Linked DNA regions of Oryctolagus cuniculus. Each later gene encodes a partner of the first gene's protein in a complex. Links are inferred from orthologs where the notes say so. Each region holds a gene or a part of one and is shown in the gene's direction. Other genes may lie near its edges.

The links.
Region 2: the proteins of PLXNB1 (region 1) and ARHGEF12 are in contact, whole or in part, in an NMR structure (PDB 2OS6), measured with the Homo sapiens proteins. The link is inferred for Oryctolagus cuniculus from reciprocal best matches to the Homo sapiens genes PLXNB1 and ARHGEF12. Residues at the interface, in NP_001123554.1 of Homo sapiens: Glu2129, Lys2131, Val2132, Thr2133, Asp2134, Leu2135; in NP_056128.1 of Homo sapiens: Phe82, Gly83, Leu84, Thr85, Val86, Ser87, Gly88, Asp89, His127, Val131, Lys135.
Region 3: the proteins of PLXNB1 (region 1) and SEMA4D are in contact, whole or in part, in a crystal structure (PDB 3OL2), measured with the Homo sapiens proteins. The link is inferred for Oryctolagus cuniculus from reciprocal best matches to the Homo sapiens genes PLXNB1 and SEMA4D. Residues at the interface, in NP_001123554.1 of Homo sapiens: Leu80, Pro81, Pro82, Glu87, Arg136, Pro137, Gly138, Asp139, Thr140, Tyr142, Gly178, Glu202, Lys205, Ala207, Gly209, Arg210, Ser212, Glu213, Arg235, Arg242, Asp359, Val360, Asn361, Ser362, Leu367, Pro368, Thr371, Tyr375, Ser379, Asp380; in NP_001358123.1 of Homo sapiens: Glu99, Lys100, Gly101, Phe158, Tyr179, Phe181, Leu182, Gly183, Ser184, Arg198, Tyr201, Ile203, Glu208, Val240, Leu264, Arg265, Thr266, Leu267, Gln268, Lys270, Thr347, Gln350, Ser351, His352, Thr353, Asp388, Gln392, Lys395.

The regions. Positions count from the first base shown.
Region 1 is NC_091441.1:100,625,881-100,630,270, forward strand, and holds the start of PLXNB1 (plexin-B1), read left to right. Parts: upstream 1-1,494; 5' UTR 1,495-1,645; intron 1,646-1,819; exon of another isoform or gene 1,820-2,028; intron 2,029-2,059; exon of another isoform or gene 2,060-2,134; intron 2,135-2,235; exon of another isoform or gene 2,236-2,334; intron 2,335-2,386; exon of another isoform or gene 2,387-2,524; intron 2,525-2,820; exon of another isoform or gene 2,821-2,998; intron 2,999-3,114; exon of another isoform or gene 3,115-3,602; intron 3,603-3,702; exon of another isoform or gene 3,703-3,795; intron 3,796-4,390. Other genes in the region: CCDC51 (mitochondrial potassium channel), read left to right, coding at 1-168. UniProt on the Homo sapiens protein: Receptor for SEMA4D. Plays a role in GABAergic synapse development. Mediates SEMA4A- and SEMA4D-dependent inhibitory synapse development. Plays a role in RHOA activation and subsequent changes of the actin cytoskeleton.
Region 2 is NC_091432.1:112,821,329-112,825,446, forward strand, and holds the start of ARHGEF12 (rho guanine nucleotide exchange factor 12), read left to right. Parts: upstream 1-1,213; 5' UTR 1,214-1,307; coding exon 1,308-1,339; intron 1,340-4,118. UniProt on the Homo sapiens protein: May play a role in the regulation of RhoA GTPase by guanine nucleotide-binding alpha-12 (GNA12) and alpha-13 (GNA13). Acts as guanine nucleotide exchange factor (GEF) for RhoA GTPase and may act as GTPase-activating protein (GAP) for GNA12 and GNA13.
Region 3 is NC_091432.1:138,252,944-138,257,168, reverse strand, and holds the start of SEMA4D (semaphorin-4D), read left to right. Parts: upstream 1-1,304; 5' UTR 1,305-1,521; intron 1,522-4,225. UniProt on the Homo sapiens protein: Cell surface receptor for PLXNB1 and PLXNB2 that plays an important role in cell-cell signaling. Regulates GABAergic synapse development. Promotes the development of inhibitory synapses in a PLXNB1-dependent manner.

The DNA.
Region 1 (4,390 bases):
CTGCCCAGCTCCTTGCTAGAGCAGGGGGCTGTGATCTTGGCACTGTCGGACATGGAACAGAGGCTTGAGGCCCAAGCCAACAGGAACACCGTCTACAGCACGCTGGTCACCTGTGTGACGTTTGTGGCCACCCTGCCTGTGCTCTACATGCTGTTCAAGGCCAGCTAGCCCAGAGCCCCCTCCAGCGAGTCCCAAGCGCTCGATGTGGGTGAGGATTTAGTCGGTGAATCCCAGCAGCGAAGTCAGCCTTCGGAGATGCACACGACCTCGGCCTGAGCCGCTGCACCTTCAGGCACACTTTGCGTTGTAGGCAGTGTTTTACATGAATTATCAAAACGCTGCGCTAATGTCCAATTAAAATATCTTCCAAGTTTGTTTTATGTAAAAAAATGTACAGAGACTGAATTTCGTGCATTGAGAGCTGAGATCCGGGACTCGAGGGTCGGGCCCCTTCCGTTCCTGCCTCCCCGTGGTCCTCTGTCAGGGCCGCCCTGGACACACTTGCTCCTGAGGCCTGGTTTTCTGGATTTCCTGGCCCTGTCCTCTGCTTGCCTGACCTGCCCATGTCAGGTGGCCTGGAGGCTCTGGTCAGTGCAACCTTACCTGCTTGTGAGTCAGCCCACTTACGTCACTTCCGGATCACAGGGGAGAATTTGGCTGTAGAGCTGGAAGAATGATCTGAGGAGAGGTGGGAAGAAAGCTTGGGGACGTCGTCACAGGAATGGTGGCCAACCTGGGTCCCCAGTGCAGCGAGGGCTTCGGGCAGTGCTGCTGTGCTGGGGCTGGGTATGCCGAGCTTGGGATGACCTTGACAGGTGTGGGCAGAGCTCAGGCCACCAGCAGTGTGAACGCACAGGAAGTGATGGGGAGGGGCCCCCGCCCCCCCATAGGGGCATGGAGGCAGAGTGCCCTTAGAACTCCTGATCTCTGTGATCCTTGACCTCCCGGGCTAAATGGCCGTGGGTGGCCTTCTGTAAACAGGGAGCTTGGGGGATGCTGTGTACTCACAATGGAGCCTAGTGGAGAGCCCACCCTCCCTGTAGAACACACCCAGCTCTTTGCAGGGTCTGTGGGTAGCGGTTTGTTCATCGGTGCCTGCACAGCTGACTGAGCAGAGGCCCAGTAGAACCAGGAGTATCTCCTGTGAGGCACCCTTCCTACCTTCCTGGAGCCTGGCTCAGCCTGGGCTGTGAGTGTGGCCCAAATGGCCGCATTCTGGCCCCTCCATCCAGAATGACCTGGGATCCTGGTGCGGCAGGAGGTGCCATGACTGTGAGCAGATGAGGGGAGCAGTGGGGTTCACAAGAACCAGGTTCCCTTCTGGGAAGAGGCAGATCCTGAAAGATGTTTGAGTGAGTAGCTTTGGGGAGGAAAGGCCCCTGGACACGTGGAAGGGGCTAGCGCAAGCTGCAGAAGCAGGAAAGCCAAGGTAGGCAGCTGAGGGAGGGATTCTCCTGACAGGCGGTGCTCCGGATGGGGTGGGGCTTGTGGAGCACACCGTCAGAGAGCAAGGTGAAAGACCTGTGCCAAGCCGCCGCTGTAGACCAAGTGCTCCGTGTCTGGAACTCAAGCGCTGGAATCCAAGTGGAGGAAGAGGGTTCACCTGAAGAGTTGGGGAGGGAGAATTCGGAAGGCACAGAGCCTGGTAGATGAGAGGGACTGCGGGGAAGCCCTCGAGGAGGTGGGGGGTGGGAGGAGGGTGTCTGTGACCCTGGCTGTCAGGGCAGTAGCTGGGGTGGACGACCTGCACCTCCAGGTTGAAGCTTCCAAGTGATGTGTGTGCCTGTGCGTGTGTGTGAGAGACAGTTTTGTTTCCCAGGAGGCTGTGCCAATGGCCTCGAGCCAGAACTCTCCAGAAGTTCTAACAGGATGGGCTAGGTCCTGGCTCCCGTTGCTGTGGATGGGAAGGGACAAACAGGCCTCAGGAGAGAACCCTCCTGCCCAGCGTTTCCTCCTGCGAAGGCCCAGGAGTCCGCCAGTGAGGCAGTCTAGACTTGCCCAAGGCTTCTCAGCTTGGGGTGGTTCCAGGTAGGGGCCTGGGACGGAGAGGAGGGCGGGGCGCCCATGCTGGTGCACCTCGGCCCGGTGTGCCAGCTTCAGCGGCCGGGCGAGGGGGGTTCACCCCCACTTGCTGGTGAGCAAATAGGTTGAGGGGGGGCGGGTGTCAGGTTACAGGGCTTAGCGATGGCGCAAACCCAGGTCCAAAGCCCGAGCTCTGCTCTCAAACAGCGCAAGGTGGGGGCGGAGGGAGGGGCTGGCTGGTGGGGAGTCCCGGGAGAAGGAGCGGTGGGCAGGACCAGGTGCGCAGGGGAGAAACGAGGCGCCTTAGTTCAGGTAAGGGAAGTTGAGGGAGAACGTCCACAGGAGCCCGTCCTGGAAGGGAGAGCGGGCGGGATGGTGGCGGAGGCGGCCAACGAACAGACGGGCCAGGTGAGGCGCGGGACCCGACTCCGGCGAGGCGAGAGAGGCCCGGCCGCTCCCCTCCCGGGAGGGCTCCCAGTTCCAGTTCCAAAGCAGCGCGCAGGTGAGGCCCCGCGGGGGCGGGGCGGAGCAGTGTTGCCATGGCTACCGCCGCCGGGCAGCCCCTGAGCCCCCTCCCTATGCGGGAGGGGCTGTGCACCCCCGCACTTGGCGGGCGCGGAGGCCGCGCGGCCGGAATGCGGGGTCCCGGGCAGTCCGGGGCCGTGCGCCCCGCTCTCCCGGCTGCTTCCGGCCTGGCCCCGGCGGCGGGCGGGGGGAGGGCGGCCCGGCGGGTGGGGGTGGGGGGGGAAGGAGCGGAGCCGGGCCCGGCCGACGCGGCTTTGTCTCCTTTGTTCCCAGCGGTGGCAGCGCTGCGGCGGGAGGGGCGGGCAGCGGGCGCAGTTTTCCGCCCCTCGGTCTCCGGGTAACAGCTGCGGCTCCGCCAGACCCACCTCCGGGGCAGGCCGCCGCGCACACAGCCGCGTCCCGAGCGGCCGGCGCCCCCTCGGCGCGCACATCCCGCGCGGCCGGCCGGGCGGTGAGTGCCGGGCGCGGGGCCGGGGCGGCGGGGCCCCGGCGAGGCCGCGCGCCCCGAGGCGGAGCGGTCTGGGGCCGGGATCCGGCCGGGCAGGGGCGGCCTGGGGAGTGGTGGGCGGCTTCGGCGCCGAGAGTTGGGACCACGCTTCTCCGCGCGGAGGGAAACTCTGGCGGCGCCGCCTGTAACGCGATTGGGAGACAGAGGAGGTGGAGCTGCTCCTCCGCGCCCCCTCCTCGTCGCCGCCGCCGCGCCGGGGACCGACCGGCCCCTTCCCCGCCCTCCCGGGGCCACGGGTGGGGTCCTCGCCCCGCGACCTGGTCGGGGAGGGGGGAGGGCCGCGGCGCCCCCTTGAGAGTAACAGCCTTTGCAGGTGCGCTCGCGGGACTGACAAAGGCGGACCCCGAGCCTCCAGGCTTGAGGGCGCGTCCCGCTCCACACTTCGGGTGCGTGATGGTGAGCACCGCGGGGCATCTTGGAATCCCGCCGGCGGTGGCTCTCCCACCCGCGGCAACACACGGCGGACAGGGTGGGCAGTGCGCACGGCCGCACCGTCAATGAATGGAGCAGGGGGCGGAGAGGGAGTCCTGTTCCCACGGACCCCCAGGTAAATGTGCAGGTGTGGAGTGTGGAACGGCTGGGCCGTGAGCCTCGTTGGTAGGTGAGGACAGCTCCACGAGGTTTCAGGAAGTGCTTGCTTTCTACAGGCGGCCATGGGCCCTGCTGAGGAGGTGCAGAGAGAGGTGGGCCCAGAAGAGGCCCACCAGGCACGCTTGGGCATGGGCAGTGAGGCCTTGGCGGTGAGCCTGGACAGAGCCCCAGAGGTGGGGAGTGGGAGGAGATCTGACGGTGCAAGTCGGGGACAGGAGGCTGGCTCCAAATCAGCATATCGGCCTTTCCAGTCTGCTGGGGTCAGCCATTAATAAGAGGGGGGCCTGCTGCCTTGCCCGAGGAGATACCAAGTGGCTTGGAGAGTGGGCAGGGGGCATGGTCTCCCCTAGCAGCGGGGTTCCCTTTACCACCACACAGAGAGCACCTGCTCTTTTGCCGTCTGTGAGCTGGAGCCACACTCCCTGCCTTTGAGGAGCTTCAAGTCCAGAGCTGGGGGAGGGGGGCACATCAGCCTCAGCTCTTCCATCCCCTGCTGCCCGGAGTGACCTCCTCAGCACCCTGGCAGGATGGCTGGGTGTGGGAGTTAATGGGCTAGAGAGGGAGTGGGCATTCCAGGCAGCAGGACAGCCGCGTGACTTGACAGCAGAGGAGCGAACCGCTGTCTGTCGTTCAGGCATCAGGAACGAAGAGCATGTGGGGGGCGGGGGGCTAGAGGGCCTTGGCCTTTGTCCTCTGACCCACCTCCCCCGGGGGGGGCACCAGAGGCCCTGGGGGCAGAGATGC
Region 2 (4,118 bases), on another chromosome or scaffold:
TGGCTAACACTGACAGCGCGAGCAGCACCCCTAAGCGACCCTCTCCCACACTCTCCGGCTCCAGGGCCAGCGGCGAGCCTGGAGGTGCCGCCTTTGCCCCCGCGGGACTACTTTTCTGCTCCCCCCAAGCGAGGCCGAGGCGGAGGCGTCCGCGCGGGGGCGGCGCAAGCGAAGGGCGGGCGCGGGCGGCCGGCGCTGCGCGATGCGGCCCGGCGGAGGGATTCCCGGGTGAGGCGGCTTCCCGAAGTCAGAGGGGAGGAGGCCAAAAAAGTCGGCGGGGGAGGGGAAGCACGAGCTCGCGCTGGACGCGACCGGGAAGACAGAACCGGAACCGGAACCCGCGCGCGCGCCCGCGGTCGTCGGTCGCTCCCCCCACCTCCGCCCCACCGCCGGCGGCCGCCTCCGCCTTCTGCGCGCGCTCCCGCGAGGGCCCCCAGCACCCGGCGAGCCGGTTCCGCGCGGGGAGTCGCCGCCGCCGCCGCCGCCGCCGCCCGTCGCCTCCCGTGCCGAGGCTTCCACCAGGCCGGGCCGGACGGGAGCCTCCCGCCCCCCCCGCGGGAACCGCCGCCTACCGGAGCGTCGGGGAGGAGCCGCCGCCGCCGCCCGTGCTGACTGCGGAAGAGTCCGGGCCTCAAAGGGATGGGGAGCAGCCCGCGGCCCTGAGAGACCCCGGTCCCTGTCACTTCAGGTCGCGGGACTCCTTTTCCGCCGGCGCCCGCGGCTCGTCCCGGTGCCCCGGAGCCTGGTGGGGGCGGCGAGGAAGACGCGAGGGGTCCCCGGGCCGGGGGACATGGGGCCGCGCGAGCTCGGCGCGGGACGGCCCGAGACGCGGCCGAGGCTGCGGCCACGCGCGACCGGCAGCCCCAGTTAGAGAGCGGGGACGCGAGGGCTCGGCCGTGCGGGTGCGGACGGAGTTGACGGCCCCGAGACTCCGGAGGAGGAGCCGATCCCGCCCCGGCCCCGGCCGCGGCCCCGGCGGGAGTCCGGGTCCCCTTCCCACGGCGCGCGGACTTCCCTGGGCCACGGAGTTCTCTCGCTGTGCCTCCTGCAGGATTTGTCGCAGGCGCCGGGACTCGCCTGCCGGCTGACTTTGTTGGTTTTGTTTTGGATGATAACTTTGCTCCAGCCCGCATCCCCTTTGCTTGACCCCTTCCAATCGGATGTTCTAGATGACTGCATGGAGTGTTGAGTTGGACTTTTGTGTCCCCGACGGAGTTGGGCCTGATCCCAGAGCACTGGGGGTGGGGTGGAGGTGTTACTGTAAAATGCAAGTTGGATGAAAGGAGGACCTCTCGCCAAGGGCCCCAATGAGTGGCACACAGTCTACTATCACCGACAGGTTCGTATGAAGCCCTCCTCCCCTAGCCCGCCCGCGTCCGGCCGGCCGGCCCGGCGACAGCCGGTCCTGCACGCCGCCTTTGGCCCGCGGAGTTGACAGGCACAGGAGAGAGGGCTGTTTGGGAGCCGGGCAGTTAGCGGAGGGTGGCTGCCGAGGGGTCGGTTGGTTGGAAACACGGTCTTTCTGGCGAGAAGGGGTGCGCCCCACCACGAGCGTGGGGTTTTTGTCTGTGGTTCTGGCTGGGGTGTGCGTTTGGAGTCTGTTCTCATCTTTGGAACCAGAGGAAGGTCACGTTAGGTGAAGGTCAGCGCCAGAAGACGGCTGGGTGTTGGTGCATCGTCAGTTTGACTCCTGCCCTGTGCAAGTTCTCGGAACCCCTTACATTTTAGCGATTTCTGTCCGGGAACTGAATCTTCAGCCTCCTGCCTGGTGATTCGTGGACTTGGTCTCTTTTAGGTGTTGACCCCTCCAGTGTTTAATTATCTAATAATTTTCCAGAATGTTGACATGGCTCTCGCGCGAGGCAGTATGCAGGAGCTGGAGGAAATGAGGAAACTCCCAGGGCTTGCTTTCAGTTATTGTATTTTAATATTCCATCTTCCAGAAACACTTGGTTAAGGGGTGTAAACCCTAAGCATAGTGCAAGCATGGCAGGTGGATGTGTTGACGTCTGTGTACCCTTTACAAGTATTTATAATTGTTGCGTGGAGTGCGGCGATTTGAGCTGGACTATACGTGGTTGAAGTAGAGTTCCCTTATTCCCAAACGTTATTCTTTTGACTAGGTTACATGATTGAATTTCTTAACCCCATTTTATTTCTCACTTTAATTATGGCAAAATGCTGTGTATGTTTGATAGTCTCAGATTTCAATCTGTTTATTAAGTCAAGCTTCACACTACTACATCTGAAAAAATAAATACTCAATTTTCAGTCCAGAGCTCTTTGTTGAAAAGTGCAACAATAGTGGTTCTGCAGAAAGTAGATTAATTTGCTAATAAGAGAGTTTTACCCAATTGTAAAGCTCATTTGTTGATTCTGAAAGAGCCAAATTCCATTATCATACCATAACAGCCACTCCAGAAACAGAACTTCCTCTTCCTGTTGATGCTTTCCAGTGTCACATGAATGTTCACCTAAAAGATTCCATTAAATAATTAAGCTATTTATGTTTATCCTTTGTGTTTTTTATTAAATGAGTTTTCATTTTCAGTGAGATAATGTTTAATTTTTCTGAGAATATACTTAACATGAATAGTGATGATGCTATTTTAGTTAACCCCATTCCTTTTCTTTTCTGGGAGTCTTGCTCCTGAGAAACTGTTTTTCACCAGCATGTGGATAATTGTTTCCCTGATTCATTCGAATCTTATCTTTTTGTTGAGCACATAGACAAGAAGTCTTACTAGACGCTAATGTGGTATTGGTTTTCCTTGTAATGCTTGGGTGCTGTTGCAGAAACAGAACTTGGGGTCACCAACTCATCCCCACAGAAATCACTAAAAAGCCCCAGCTTTGCTTTTCAGGGATTTTTCTTTCAGTTATCTTGGAAATACAATCTTAGAATTTGTGTACTTTTTATACTTTTTATAACTTAAACGGCATATCGCCATTCAAGAAGCCTGCAGTTATTGAAAGCCTGTTCTTTGACATGCACTGTGCTAGGCACAAAAGGTGGACAGAATGAATGTGTGAATATTGGTGTCGGCGTTCATACTCTCGACCTGGTGCAGGTGCTGCCTGATTTTACATAGGTCTTTACAAGCAAAAAAAAAAAGAACTGTGCAGTCTTGCCTAATTTAATAAACACTGCTGAGACTGTTGTCTTATTTTTTAATGTGAATTGTTAGATGACCACTAGTTTTTTTTCAACGTCTTATTTTATAAATAGAAAGCATCCATTTACCTTTAAGGGAGTAGTTATTCCTGATTTGCATATATATTGGGGTGAAATCTGTCCGGGTGCCTTAACAAAGTTATGAGTACAGAATAATTTCCAGCTTCCTGTCAGCCTCCCTACTCATCCTTTTTTCCCCCTTGTCCAACCCTAGGGTACTAGATGGGTTTGTTTTGCTGATTCTAGAACTATTGGCCAATTAAGAGTGCCAGTGTGGCTTTTTCGAGATCCTTTCAAGTTTGGAGTACTGGCTGTGGTATGGCTTTGTTTTGTAGAGTGTGCAGAACCACCACGCCAGCTGTGGGAGTTCGAGTTCTTTCACTGCGGAGCTTCTGGCTACAGAGTCTGTCTGTCCTCGGTTGAAATCAGACTGGCTGGTTTTGGGCGTTGTTCTGTTTTGCAGTTTGTGGCAGGCGACACATGGCTGAACAAGATAAGAAGGGTTTTATTCTTGTGTTAGGGACGTGCTGGGGCTGGGTTGGAATTCAGCTATGTTCAGGCTCTGATTGGTTACTTCAGATACTCAGAACTCTGTTATATCCTGTCATTATTTTGCACATAAATTTGTTCCCTTCTCTTGTTTTTATCGTCTATTCCCCAGCTCCCGCCGCCTTTCTAAGATTTAAAATTAAAACTCTTTTAAAATTTAAAACTCAGACTCTGTTCGTGGTAGCTATTGTTTTTATATGATATCTTTGAACAGGTATTAGAAAAATCTAAGCAGTTAATGAAATGAATACCTTTCAGTCTCTTTGTAACTTCTGTGAGACCAAGAGACTGTGGTTTTCAGCATTTAAGAATGAGCACTTGAAAATTGGTAGAAATGTCTGATTGCTGCTTTTAGTCCTAAAATATGTCCAAATTGTTTCCAATCCTCCTAGAT
Region 3 (4,225 bases), on another chromosome or scaffold:
GGGAGTGCAGTGGAGGATGGCCCAAGTGCTTGGGCCCTGCACCCCGTGGGAGACCAGGAGAAGCACCTGGCTCCTGCCTTCGGATCAGCGCGGTGCGCCGGCCGCAGCGCGCCAGCCGTGGCGGCCATTGGAGGGTGAACCAACGGCAAAGGAAGACCTTTCTCTCTGTCTCTCTCTCTCACTGTCCACTCTGCCTATCAAAAAAAAAAAAAAAAAAAAAAAAAAAGAGTCAAGCTGGACTCCATCCGGTTCCAGCAGGAGGGTCAGGGCCCCCACATAGCAGAGAAGGGGCGGAGTGAGCTCCCTGCCCCACCATGCAAGCATCCTGGGGCCCCAGCTTTGCCAGGTCAGCCTTTATTGGGTGGGGTCCTGCTTCCACTCTCCAAGCTGGGTGCTAATGGGCAGGAGGCCTCTGCAGAGAACTCTGGCTCTTGGGTTTTTCTTTATCTGACCCAGGGAAGAGCTGCTCACCGTGGCTCTGTGATTATGAGCAAAGTAGCCCCCTGAAAGGCCAGGGCGGTAGCCCATGAAGCTATCCTGGCCAGGGAGCACCTGGACGCCTCACATTTGGGGATCGTGCTGGGTCAATCCGGAAGTGTGTCTCTGTCCTGCAGAAGGGAATGGTGGCAGCTGGCGCAGCACCATCTGGGGGTGGCCTCCAACTCCCCACACCTGGGCCAGTCACAGCGTCTCACCAGGTGCCCCACTGGGGCGGGGTGGTCTTTGCACCCAGTGTGGAAAATGAGGACCACTCAGCAGAGGGTTGCTATGAGAGGGCATCAAGCCAGGCCAGGATGGGGTGGGGAGTGCCTGCCCACGGCACACCGAGAGACCAGGACAGCCTGGCCCAGGATACTCTCGCCCAAAGTTGGGAGCTGCTGGATCTTCACACACAGCAGGTGCAGACCCTGGACCCAGAGTCGGCCCCACCGGCTAGGGATGCGGGAACCCCAGTAGATTTAGGGGACCTTGGAAAGAGCATGGTCAGTCCAGGCTCTCAGAGTGGGCAGACTGGTCCATTAGGAGGTGGTCAGAAGTCAGGCTTCCAGTCCTGGGAACCAGGGCGAGGCAAGGGGGCAACCTCTGGGCCTTGTCCAGGAGCCCGGGGGTGGGGGTTAGGAGAGGGAGGTAAGAAAGGAGGAGGGAGGAAGGGGGCGAAGGCCGAGGAGCCAGAAGAGGCGCGCTGGGGAGGTAAAGAGAGGGGAGAACCTTAGACCAAGGGAGAGAGGAGGGAGGAAGAAGAAAGGGGAGGGCCGAGGGGAGGGAAGAGGCGCGGGGGAGGGGAGCGGAGGAGGAGGCGGGAAGGGAGGGAGCGGGGGAGGGGCCTCCGCGCCGCTCCGCGCCCTCGTCCCCGCGCCGGCCTCCGCGTCCTCGCGCTCCGCAGCATCCCCGCGCTCTCGTCCCCGAGCCCCGCGCCCGCCGCCGCCGCCGCCACCACCGCCGCCGCCGCCGCTGCCGCCGCCGCCATCGCCATTCCTGGCGCCCCGCTCGCCGGGCCGCCGGGGCAGGGCGCGCGCTCAGGTAAAGTGCCGGGTCGCGTGGAAGGGAGCGCGCGGCGCGGGCAGGTGCCGGGGGACGGCCACCCCGCTCCGTGGAGCCCCCTCGCCGCACCCCAGGGCCCTCCCCGGACCCCTGCAGCTACCCCCCACCCGGGACCCCACCCGGGACCCCTCCCGGGACGCCACCTGGAGCTTCCTGGCCAGTCCCTTCCCTGGACGCCTCCCTCGACCCCCTCCTGCTCGGCCCCTCCCCTGCCTGGTTCCGGCCCGACCGCGGGGCGCAGGTGGCTCGCGGGGGCGCTGGGCTTACGGCAGACCCGGACCGGGGAGGGGGCGGCGCGCTCGCCCAAGCCCCGCCGCGCCCCGGCCCGCCCGGTCAGGCCCGCTCCGGCCGGTCCGGGCCCAGCCTCCCTGCGGGCTTCTGTTTTCCATTTTGGTCTCGAGGCCGAGGCCTCTGGGAGTGGACCCGGCGCGGCGCACTCAGACAGGTGGGGCAGGTCGCCCCCGCCTGGTGGTGGGTGCCGCAGGCCTCGGCTTCCTTCGGGGGTTTTGGCCGCGTTATTGTAGAACCGCTCGGGAGAGCCAGAATCCTTAGCTCCGTGGGGCTGCACCTGTTGCAGGCGCCTGGCGAGTGCAAGGGGCTGAGTCGCTGGGGGTTTGCCAGTGAAAACCTGGAAATGAGAGTTGAGGCCGCGGCCATCGTCTGGCTCGATTTGGTTTAGGATTCTGGGGGGTGGGTGGGGGGAACATTTGGGAGCCTGGAGGTGGGCAGTTCCAGGAGGCCTGTGGTGGGGGCTGCTGTCTGTGATTGGCGCAAGAAGTTGCTCAGCTTTTGTCTTGCAAACCTCCCTCTGCTCTGCACATCCCAGGCCCCAGGGTGGCCGCCGCTCCAGGGGCCTGTGGCCAGCTTTCTTCTCCTGCCGTTCTAAGCCTTTTCAACTCCATTGGGCGCCACTGAATGGAAGTTTCCTTTCTGGGGAGTGCAGTGACACCAGCAGCCTGTCACCTCCTGTGCCCCCCCCCACAGCCCCCTCCTGGGGCCTGCCCTCTGGCTGGCTACCCAGAAGGTTATTTGGGAATGTTTACTGTGCCCCAGAAACAAGCAACGCCGGCCAGGCAGGGCCGGAGCAGGTTGTGCTGGGGATGCTGTTACTCCGATTGTCACTTGCACGTTTGGTGTCTGTGCACGCCATGTGTCGGTGATCGCCCACCAGGAGAAGAAAGCAGGCCTCCTCCCTCCCCCTGGGGGAAGGGCTGGGCTAGGGACATGCTCACTGGGAGTGCCTGTCAAGAATGACACAAGTAAGCAAGACCACATGGCCACGTTGCCAGACCCAGTGCTGGCATGGGGGTCTGGGGCTGTCTCCCCTCGAGGTGCTCGTCTGTCTGTCTGCACTCTGAAACAGAGCCATTGAAGTCCTCCAGCTCTGGCTCCTGTGTGGCACCCAGGCTACCAGAGACCCCTCCCAGAGTGGCCCGCCCTTGGCTAAGGTTTGGGTGCAAAGCCCAGCGGCCGTGTTGCACTAGAAGCTGTCCTGTAGGGTGTCCTTGATGACACCATCCACTTGTGGACCGTCTCTTGCAGGTAGATTGTCGGCGGCAGATGCTAAATGGTGCTGTCTTCCCTGCACTGGGCCTGGGGGGTGTGGGCCGGTCCTGGGGAATGCGCTAATGACTGGCTTGGAAGGAGCTGCGAGGGGGCGCCTGCTGGGGCCAGCGCGATCAATAATGCATTGCAGAAATCAATGGTCTTCGTCATCCGATGTGCTTCTTGAGGGCGCCTGCTCAGGGGGGATGGGTGGGGCCCAGAGGGAGAGTGGTTGCTGGGGGTCTCTTCCTGTTGGGTGTGGCTGGGACCTCTTGTGGGGGAGGGGCATATATCTCCACTGTCCCCAGACCAGGCCGTGGGTCTGCTGCGCCCAAGCAGGCCTGGGGAGAGGATCTGCTTCCTGGTTGCTTTGTAATACACCTTCCCTTCGTGTAGGAATGTGCTTGGTTCAAAGGACTCTGGAGCTGGAGGAGGTGGCATGGGCTCCCTGTACTCCTGCCCCCCCCCCCCACCCCGCTCCTAGGCTCTTCTGGAAGTGACAGTCGTGATCTGTGACCCCACCCAGGTGGGGGGGTGGGAGACCATGTGAGGATTAAACCCGAGCGTGCACTCTGCTGAGTTTGGGTGCAGCCCCTGGGAGGAGGGTGCTGGCTGCAGCCCCAGCTGGGGGCCGTCACTTCTCGTGGAATTGGATGATCCCAGCAAGAGGAGGAGGAGGCCAGAGGCTGGACAGCGGTGCTGGGGGAGATCTCGTCCTCGGTCCCCATGGCCTTGTCTACTGGGCTGAGCAAGTGTAGTTCCGGCAGCGCCACCTGTGTCCCGGGATCCCCAGGGCGTCGCCCCGGAGCGTGGCTGGTCCGGCAGCTCCCGTGCACCTGCAGGGAGAGGTTTGCTGGGGCCTCTGTGCAATTCTGTCATGGAGAGGTGGCATGGGTGAGCAGAGATGCGTTGGGAAGGTAGCACCCGTGAGCCCTGGGCCTGGGCTGGAGCTGGGTGGGGTTTGTCAGGTAATCTTTGGGATGAGCAGGTTGCCCGTGACCTGGGCACTCCCTGCTGCCTGCGCCCCTGCTTCCACTCCTGAGACACTGATGGGCTCATAGGCACCTGGGGGCAGGGTCCCTGGGGTCCTGTTTGGCCTGTCTCAGATGCCTCTGCCTGTAAGAGCGTTGGCTGCACC